Yarrowia lipolytica: one gene and its partner. The protein of the gene in region 1 purifies or fractionates together with the protein of each later gene. This does not show direct contact. Links are inferred from orthologs where the notes say so. Each region holds a gene or a part of one and is shown in the gene's direction. Other genes may lie near its edges.

Evidence for each region.
Region 2: the proteins of YALI1_E38526g (region 1) and YALI1_C07770g purify together in Saccharomyces cerevisiae (affinity purification with mass spectrometry; 4 studies listed by BioGRID). This does not show direct contact. The link is inferred for Yarrowia lipolytica from reciprocal best matches to the Saccharomyces cerevisiae genes PRE4 and SCL1.

What each region holds. Positions count from the first base shown.
Region 1 is NC_090774.1:3,849,665-3,854,860, forward strand, and holds YALI1_E38526g (uncharacterized protein), read left to right. Parts: upstream 1-2,912; coding exon 2,913-3,710; downstream 3,711-5,196. Other genes in the region: YALI1_E38491g (uncharacterized protein), read left to right, coding at 1-771; YALI1_E38512g (uncharacterized protein), read left to right, coding at 1,609-1,675, 2,142-2,368. UniProt on the Saccharomyces cerevisiae protein: Non-catalytic component of the proteasome which degrades poly-ubiquitinated proteins in the cytoplasm and in the nucleus. It is essential for the regulated turnover of proteins and for the removal of misfolded proteins.
Region 2 is NC_090772.1:774,441-779,702, reverse strand, and holds YALI1_C07770g (uncharacterized protein), read left to right. Parts: upstream 1-2,630; coding exon 2,631-3,437; downstream 3,438-5,262. Other genes in the region: YALI1_C07780g (uncharacterized protein), read right to left, coding at 380-1,681; YALI1_C07758g (uncharacterized protein), read left to right, coding at 3,833-4,327; YALI1_C07721g (uncharacterized protein), read right to left, coding at 4,638-5,262.

The sequences.
Region 1 (5,196 bases):
GAGTTCCAGATGGCAGCCGTGACCAAGATGCTGTCATACCCCGTCACAATCGGCTCCGTGCTGCACACAATGTCCCCTTACGCTCTCAAGCCTAACGGTCCTCTGACCCTCGAGGGTCTCAAATCCCTGGCTGCTCTGCGATACTCTCTGTTCCCCATCGACAAGTCCCGTGCTCTGAACGATCGACCCATCCGATTGTTCATTCTGGGCGCCCGAGCCGAGTCCCAGCTGCCCCCCCACGTGTGGAAACAGCTCTCGTATCTCATCCCTACCGCCAAGTGGGAGCTGTACTTCATTGGTCCTGAGGCCTACTACGACCGAGACAAGCACCAGTACGTGCAGCACTCGCGACCCGTGGAGATGAAGATCGACGACACCATGACCTTCAAGTTCTACTCGGACTACTTCCATGTGCTCCACGAGGCTCATGATTTCTTCCCTTACGACCCCTACCTGGATGCATTCTTCCTGTTCCACCCCGGTCTGGGAGCCCCCGAGGCCATGGATCAGTGGGCCAAGTCGTTGCCCGGTCTGCTGGAGTCCAAGTGTGCCATCTTCTCCACCGGTTTCCACAAGGATGACCTTGAGCGAGACTGGAACTGGCTGATGGACAAGTTTGGCTCCAAGCTGGACGTGCTGCTGGAGCCCTCAGAGAACATCTTTGGCTCGACCAAGTGGGAGCTCAACGATCTCAATTCTACGGAGGTTTACCAGTTTAACCAGCAAATGTTTGCTTTCCGAGGCAAGCGATACCACGCCATTCCCCAGTAATGTACATAGGGCGTGAATATTATGACAGATGAAATGAGGAAGAAGAGCGAGGAAGATGAGCAGCTCTCACCAAACCACTGACTGAATTGTAGTAAAAACAGTACTTATTTGACCAAGCTCTGCAGTTTTACTGTACATACATACCAAGGGGTTGTATCATGTATACTACAAAGTAATTACACCAACTTTACTCATTAGAAACATTATACAGAACCAATGAATGGTATATACAACTTTTAACACTTCTGCCGTACTTTCTCTACTCAATGCAATAAATTAACAATAATTTCCCAGTTTCATCGGTTCAATCATAGACCTGCTAAATGATACTTTCCGGTTGTGTTAGTTACCATTAGTCAGATTCCGATCTCAGAGCAGTGTTTGGAAAAGGTCATCAACCCGTCCAAAAGGTGTTTTCAGAGTTGTAGACTGGATGCTAGAGTATCTGGGACAGACATCAATAGTTCAACCCCACCTGTCACCGCATCACCCTCAATATACCCATCTCCTGTTATTCCCGTGACGTTGAAGAAGATTTCGGGGCAATATTGAGTTCCGACTTTTTCCGGGATCTTCCAGTGTTAGTCAGAAATGGGGACTGAAGTTGCTTTTAGTCCTCGGAAGAAGATTGGTTAATTAAAAAATGAGTCAGCTGTTACTTTTCCAAAAAAAATTGCGCTCAATTTCTGTCCAGAACCACCAGTGAGAACGCTTCCATCACTCCCTCTCGGGGCATGTCTCCCCAACCAAACGCCAGAGCCTAATGTTGTATGCACAGGTAAGTACACTTTTCTAACTTCACACGACTCTCCCGATAACTAATACACCAAAACCACAATGAGAGCCACCAGAGTCCTTTTGAGAACCCCAATGATCAAGTTCCTGGGCAAGCGACCCACCAACGGTGAGTACGACCCTGATTGAGTAGTTGGACCTCGACACAGAAGCGTTTTGTGCGCCCTGAAATTGCCGCGACCAGCCCCGGGATATGGAGAGACATGTCTATGTGACATACAGGAGTGGTGTGGAGGAGCCATCAACAAGATGGTCAATGAATTGAGAGCGTGACTCCTAGTCACGGAAAGATTCGTGTGACAGTTGGATTGATTTCAGTCGAATCGAGATTGCGCTGTACTTCATCATCCTTGCGGCGCGATGATGCATGTGAGGATGTGCTGAGACTGTCGAGACAGACATAGTCATAACATGAGCATAACCGCGAATCTGCTCCGGCTGTGACACCATCACCAACCAAAAAAACTTCCGCGAATTCTTCTTTGCTCTTCTCTTTTCTTCTCTCCTCTCTTCTTCTGAACTCACCTCCCTACATTCACTCTACCAACAACCACCATCTGAACCAACTAACACAGTCAAAGTGGACCACACCCCACGACCCCATCCCTTGTCGCCGACCGGATCTCTACCACCATCATTCACCGCTGCCACCATCCCTCTCAACAAGGGCTCCAGCAGTAACTATTCCCCTCCTGGAGACGGCGAGTTTGCTTCTCGACGAGAGCTGTCCAAGCGATTCCAGTACCGACCCTTCTCCGAGAACGAGATCAACGAGGTCAACTCCGGCGGTGCTTTCTTTTAACCGATGTAACCAATGACAATTGATGATATTATAGAGAAGGGGGGTGTACAGTTGCTGCTGCCACCATAGTCACATGCAAAGAGGTTATGACATGTATTGTGTGATGTAAAAGTGGGTGGCATTAATTATATAAAAGAAAAATAATATATAAAGGGCTCGCTATATCGCACAAATAGTTGTAATTGTACTTCTATCCGACCATCAAAATCTCTCCTCGTCAACTCAAGATTGAGAACCCCATCATTTTAGGGTCTGCTGGTGGCGAACAGCACATCCAATGGTAGTCCGAAACAGAACACTTGGAACGGGATTAATAAGCAATATATACACAATATGACTATATAAAAAAACACAGGAGAGTCACATCAGATATTGGACATAATATCTATTCAATCGGAGCAAAATTGGCCCCGTTTCAAACCCCTCCACTTTAGATTACATAAGCACTCCTCCCAACCTAAACCTTCGCCGCCACCATGGCCTCGCAGTTACAGTCCACATCCATCTGTCACCCGAGACTTGTACACACCTACACACACTTACAATGGAGCAATCACCAATCAATTGGGGCCGTCCAAGAGACGACATTTACGGCCACTACTCGGATGCCATCTCGCAGGCCCCCAACACTCACTCGCTGCCCAAGAAACACACACAGCAGCCCACAGTTACCGGTTCTTCTGTGATTGGAATCAAGTTCGATAAAGGCGTGGTTGTGGCTGCTGACACCCTGGCCTCCTACGGTTCGCTGGCTCGGTTCGACAACATGGATCGATTGACCCAGGTCGGCGATTCCACCATTGTTGGCATTGGAGGCGACGTTTCAGACATGCAGTACGTCCAGAGACTGCTGGAGGAGCTAGAGATCGAGGAGAACTACGACAACAGCGGCGACCAGTCGCTGCACTCGGAAAACATCTTCAACTACTTGTCCAAGGTCTACTACAACCGAAGATCAAAGATGGATCCTCTGTGGAACGCCGTCCTTGTGGGCGGTGTTGACAGCAAGGACGAGCCCTTTCTGAGCCACGTCGACCTGCTCGGCGTCACCTTCAGCTCTCCCGCTCTGGCAACGGGCTTTGGTGCCTACTTGGCCCTGCCTCTGCTGCGACAGCTGGTGCCTTACCCCGACTCATACAAGAACGTGACGGAGGCTGACGCTCGAGCCATGGTGGAGAAGTGCATGAAGGTTCTCTTTTACCGAGATGCCCGGTCCATCGACAAGTACGACGTGGCCACTATAACCAAGGGCAATGTCAAGATCGAGAAGGATATCAAATGCAAGGATCAGAACTGGCGGTTTGCTGAAGACATCAGAGGATACGGTCGAACCACCTCTTAGGGATATAGGTAATGATTGCAGAACGAGACGAGTCGGGGTAGAAGCGGTTGAAAGTAGGGTCGTATATATAGCCACCTCGTTACTGTTGCACTGTGTAGGGCCGTTTCATGGAAGTCCGATCGTGGCTTCTCAACTGTTACAGGGCATGACGAGAAGTACGAGTATCCCTACACTAATCGATTCAGAATCCAAAGGCATTTCTGACACAGAGTACATGTCTTAGTGACCCTTCACTGTACAAAAGAGTCAACTTGTTTTCACTGTGTTTTGTTCTAATGTTGACGATGATCTCACTATGGAGTGTACTCGTACCCTGTAAATGGTCCATGGGTCTCAAAATTTGCAGCAGATAGTCGTTTGAAAACGTGTTTCAGCTGATGAACCTGAGTACTTCTCTACCTTGATCACCCAGTACATCTTTCCATATTTGAACCACAATAACGGAGTCGCCTGTATGAGCGAGTCGTACAACAGGAGTAGAGATCTATCATTGGGGTTACAGGCCGGGAAAGATCTTCATTAGATACAGGGAAGTAGAGGTTTTGTCTGGCTTGTTGTTTGCTTGATATTTGATATTATTGATACTGTATAGAACAGCTTGTTGAAGCTCTCAGCTCTATATCATCCTTAGTAAAGCCTCCACATTTTAATCTTCCTTACCATGTTCAACAAAAAACATTGAGGGTTCCATTGTAGAATGTACGATACTTGAAGTACGTTACTTGAGTTTTAAGAATACCCTAAGTGACTAAGTAAAACATATACAAGTACCGGTACGAGCACTGTACAATAGGGCTCCCGCTAGGACTCGTTCGGTACTACTACAGTAAACAGATATCCACATACCCTCTCCAAGGCCAGACCGATCCATGGCCGACTCCTTGCACGTATAGTGGTTATAATGGTTTCTTTGTCACGTCAATACCCTTTCCTCCGTATCTTTTCTTTGTAAATGCAACCCTGTAATTTGGCAGCCAGCGAAAGAGGAGAATGGCGCTACCATACCTGGACTTGCAGCGTAATACAGTATCGTATTACTCGTACTAGTATCTACAGTAGTCCTTGGACCGCCGTATATACACTGTACATACTACTGTATGTACTATTGTAGCAGACGGACCGTATGTACTACTTGTAGCACCACACATACCTCGGCATAGACAAATTGGGCTCGTTTTACGATAAAAGTGCCGCCTGTGCATTTCACATCACAACAATGGCCCACGTATAACTGTTCTGATACGATACCTACCCGGTACTCGTACCGTATGTATCGGTACCAGCCTGTCCCCATGCCAAGACAGTTTTCAAGACAATGCAGGTAATTTGAGATGTGGGACTGATGGATTTTGCAAGCCCACATTGTACGTACGGTAAGCGTGCTGGAGCTTTGTAGTACGGGCAAATCTTGTTGATCCACTGATCCATCGCTTCTGATACTCCATCGTCAATTAAGTCTTTTGCCCACCTGTCTTGTCTCTGTACA
Region 2 (5,262 bases), on another chromosome or scaffold:
GCACGCCGTCACACGTCCGAAAAAGCCCGTGCTCCCGTCTCACTCCCATTCTGGCAAATGCCACGGTCGATAATGCAACATACATCCAGATACAGTTGCAATACTTTTCATCAGCCCATTTTTGAGCCTCCAATAAGCATAACCCTGCAAGTCTAAGTGTAGCGCGTAAGCATACCTCTAAGGAGACAAACGATCATATCTGGTGTGTTGAACAATGTCCAGTTTTGTACGAGTATCCGTCGTCCGTCTCAAGTAAATGCGTCAACTATCGATAGTGGTACTTGAAGTCGTTTCTGTGCCCCCAATATCATCATTAGTTGATTACGAGCCTTTCGACTCCCTGCCTATTTACAATAAATATAATGTGCTCCATGCCCGACTACCTCGCATCCTTCATCGCCTCGTCAAGCTCATCTCGTCGCTGCTTTTCTCCCTCCTCAGTCAGACCGGCCAGGTCCGGCGGAATTTCAGCCATCTGAACACTGGGGGCTCCCTGCAAAGTTCTCAGCTGTTCCATCACCTGCACATGCACAGAATCCAGAAACTTGCGGGAGTTCTTGTTGTCGATCTTACCAGCCAGGTTGGGATGCAACGAGTAATCTGGAGCAAAATACTTGAGAAAAGGCATGGAAGAAGGCAACCGAGTCTCCAGATCAACGTCCAGACACACACTGGTCTCATAACACCACAATCGAGACACGTTGCGAGGGGTGTATCCTCCTCCTCCAAGCACAATCAGAGGCAGGCCAAACGACTTTGTATATGCAACGCACTCTCCATGGGCCTTGATGTTGAGATTGAAACATCCCAAACGATCTCCACCAAGCGAATCAGCTCCACATTGAAGCACAATAGCCGAGGGTCTGTAACTGTTGAGAACAGGCTCTAAAACACTCTTGAACAGCCGCACGTACGACTCGTCGTCGATTCCGTCTCGTAGCGGCACGTTGAGTGAGTAGTTCTTGCCCAGACTAGTTCCAATCTCGTCAAAGTTTCCCGTACCAGGGAAGAACTCTCCGTTATACTTGTGGAACGACAGAGTCATGACTCGGTCGGTCGAATAGAACGCCTCCTGCACTCCGTCTCCGTGGTGAATGTCGATATCAATGTAAAGAACACGTGGATACATTCTGAGAAGGTTCAGAATCGCCAACACAATGTCGTTCACATAACAGAATCCACTGGCTTCAAACTTTTTCGCATGATGCAGACCTCCAGACCAGTTGATGGCGATATCTGACTGGCCAGCAAGAAGCTTTCGACTCGCGTCCAAACTGCTACCTGCGTAAATGATCGAGTAGTCGTACATGCCGTCGAAAATGGGACAATCGTCTCCAATGTTAAACTTGGGTAAAACTCGCTGGAACTTTTTGATGTTATCCGGAGTGACACGTTGCAAGAAATCAATGTACTCTTCGGCGTGGAACTCCCGCACCTCTGTTTCTGTGGCTCTTCGGGATCTGTACAAGTCCAGTTTGTTGTGTAGCTTGTATCCCAGCACCAGATGGTCTGTCAGCATGAGTCGAAACGGTTTCATGGGGTGACGGACTCCATAATGGTATCGCGCAGCCTCCTCGTTGAAATGGTACGACACGCGGCGTTTTTGTGTCGTCAGAAACGACTCGTAGAGAGGCGTGTTTTCCACCGTCTTGGAGTCAAACACGATGGTTGGTTCTGACATGACTGTAGAGAAGTGGAATGTGATGTGATGCTATGTGTTGTGTTTGTGACGGTGTCGCGTTGATTTTGGTGTCACTTGTGCCGCGTCTCTGCCGATAAATCCCGTATTATGTGCTTTTTTTTTTCTGTCGTATATTGTTTAGTGCACTGGAGATGGGTGATGGAGGTGAATTAATTGTGCATATAAGAAACTTTATTGGTAGGGTGAAATTCTAGGACAGATAGAAAAGGTGGCGAAAAGTCGGGAAAAATGGCTTGTGAGCATATCTTTTTCTCTAATGTTGGCCATTATCTGACCATGGCTTACTTTATTGAGCAAGTAATTTTCTCTCATCATGTAGCACCTGACCCAATACCCACTGCCATGTCTCTACCTCCTTACCACTATACACAGCTAACATCTACAAGTACATACTGTACATACAGTAGTCTCAAAAGAGTCAATATAACGGAGGGTATAGAGACGTCAGAAATATAAAAATTCCGGAAAACCATTATTAAAGCTACATTTGAACGACTGGAAAAATCACTAGCTTGATCAAACACCTCCAACACGATGGAAACGTCCCTTATAAATTTCCGTTTTCAGAACCTCAAGTTTGAGATTAGTTTACCTGTTTAACCGAGGTCAGCTCAACATAACACTCAAAGTAAGGCACCAAATACCCTCACAGGAGTCTCAGTCTATATGAATAATAGTATCATCCACTCAGACCTCCCCAATCGACTTTTTTTGAGCTCCGTAACCCTCCAAACACCACCAACTCACCTCTCCTCCACATTCAACTGAACTCCCAACTAAACCCCAACTATCGCTCTCAGGGTGGTTCCCTCCTAACCCTAACCCTACTCTCCCGCATCGCCACATACATCATGCTCACGGTGGTTACAGTACTCTTCATTGCCACCCAGAACCACACAACAGGAAAATGTCAGGTAAGTATTGAGCGATGGATCGGTCGCCAATGGGGACAAGACGGATCACGCGACTCGATTGCGCCGCCGACTATTCGGATATCGCTAACACAGGCTCTGCTGGATTCGATCGCCACATTACCATCTTTTCGCCTGAGGGCCGACTGTACCAGGTCGAGTACGCCTTCAAAGCATGCAACTCTGCCAACATCACGTCGCTGGGCATCCGAGGCAAGGACTGCGCGGTTGTCGTTTCGCAAAAGAAAATCTCCGACAAGCTGTTGGACCCTTCCACCGTGTCGTACATTTTCCGAATCTCTCCTAGCATCGGAGCAGTGCTGACTGGCCAGATTCCCGACGCTCGTGCAGCTGTCCAACGAGCCCGAGGAGAGGCCGCAGAGTTCCGATATAAGTACGGATACGACATGCCCTGCGATATGCTGGCCAAGCGAATGGCCAACATCAACCAGGTGTACACTCAGAGAGCATACATGCGACCGCTGGGCGTGATCATGACGCTGATTGCCATTGACGACGAGCGGGGACCTGAGCTGTACAAGTGCGACCCTGCCGGCTACTACGTGGGATACAAGGCCACTGCATCGGGTCCCAAGCAGCAGGAGGCTAACAACTTCCTGGAAAAGAAGCTCAAGAAGAAGGAGTATGCTGCTGGAGATGTCAACGAGGTAACCGAAACCGCCATTTCCGCTCTTTCCACTGCTCTGTCTGTGGACTTCAAGAAGAATGACATTGAGATTGGTGTGGCTACAAAGGACGGATTTAGAAAGTTGACTGTGGAGGAGATTGACGAGCGGCTGGTGGCTATCGCCGAGCAGGATTAATACCGAAGAGATGAGAATATGGTACACTGAGAAGATGGCGTGGTGATGGTTTTAGCATGATGATTCTATTAACATCCCTCATTGAGGCCAATTAGAGAAGGAATAAATATATTGATATGAAAATGGACAGTGGAAGGAACATAGGGGTGGATTTGTGTGTGTACTCGTTTTACTGTAACTGTTCATACAGGATGGTTTTGTTCACAGAAGATAATGGTAAGGAAGACGAACACTGTTGAGTGGGAAATCTAAGAATTACATCCAAGTGAATCTGGGTCGTTCTCAAGACTATTGTATAGCTCATTGGTTGTGTTTTACAAGTACAATACGCGTCATCTCATCTGTCTGTCGGGTTCTCTCTCTCTCGCGTTATCTACAGTACTGCACCTCTGAGTATGTCAAATAGTTGTCCCAGTAACTCTATATTTATGACAACAAAACAAATAGCTTCTTCTTTGTCTCAACTAAACACTTATCTAGCTAGCCCACAAATGATCACCAACACGCCTCCCACCAAGCAGGACCCCTTTCTGGCTCTCAAGGAGGCCTGCGAGGACAATCCGCGTCTCCGTCCCGTCTCGGCTGTCATTTGTGACGCGGCCGAAGACCTCGCCTTCCGAGCAGGTGTCATCACCTTGTTCAACGAGCTCAAGATGCGTGAGCAGGAGGTGGAGGAACTGACTAACGAGCTCCAACGGATGCAGAAGCTCAATAGCGAGCTCCACAACATGAACGAACAGCTTCAGAGAGCAAAGACCCTCATCTCTGCATCGCTCAAACGCCACATTGCCAACCAGAGAGCTGCCAACGAATCCAGACTCGAGCCTCTCCAGGACCTGTTTGACTACGCCGCAGGAGACTCCGCGGAGATCGATTTCGACGTTGAATGAGAAGGACATAGATGGGCGTCCGGAGAACATAAATAATAGAGAAACAGATCCATGATAGAATATGTACAAATAACTGAAGGGGGTAGGGGGAAGAGGTAGACCTCTGCTCCAATACTGTAGGACTGCAGTATGTATGTATACACAGAAATGCCCTCAGTTAACAGCATATATCTATACAACGTCAGTAGATCAATCAATGTACTACTGTATGTACTTTCCAGTGGATAAGTACTCCTTCACCATAAGCCTTTTGCTTCGATTCTATATCTCGCGCTGGTGCCCACATCGTCTATTATTATACATTACTATCCTATCTGGATCTCCAAACGACCATAAAGTCGCACTTTTGCTGCTGCTTGCCCCGGCTTCGCTCCATACAATGCTGAAGCAGCCGACTCAGCTCCTGCAGAATCTCCCATTGCACCTTTTCAATAGCCTTCCAAATCACCTGCAACAGACCAATGATGTTCTGCAGGTTCGGGGCTGTTCGGATCTCAACAGGAGACAGACCCGACAGCCGCTTCAAATACTCGTAGCCATCCTCCTTGGGCACATAGCTGTTGATGGGCCGCTCCTCGCTGCGCGTGAGCATCTCTGAGCCCCACTCGGTGATCTTGCCCTTCTCGGCCGTCAGCCGAACATTGGGATCTTTGTACAACGCCATGGCATGATCCTCACATCCAGAGTTGACAAACACAAACGCCCAGAGAGCCAGGGCAGCCATGGTTACACTGTGAGGTCGCTGAATCACAGGATCAAGATGTCCCTTGTACGTGAGCTCGTTAGGTCCGTCCAGGAAGACATCTCGGAGAATCCGAATAGCATGCCAAACAGCAATACTGCCAGGCTCGGTACGTGCCCATTCGTGCATACGAGCGTTAGTAGCGTCGTACTGCGCTTGACGCATTTTCACTGTCAACATTCGAGGCACGCCA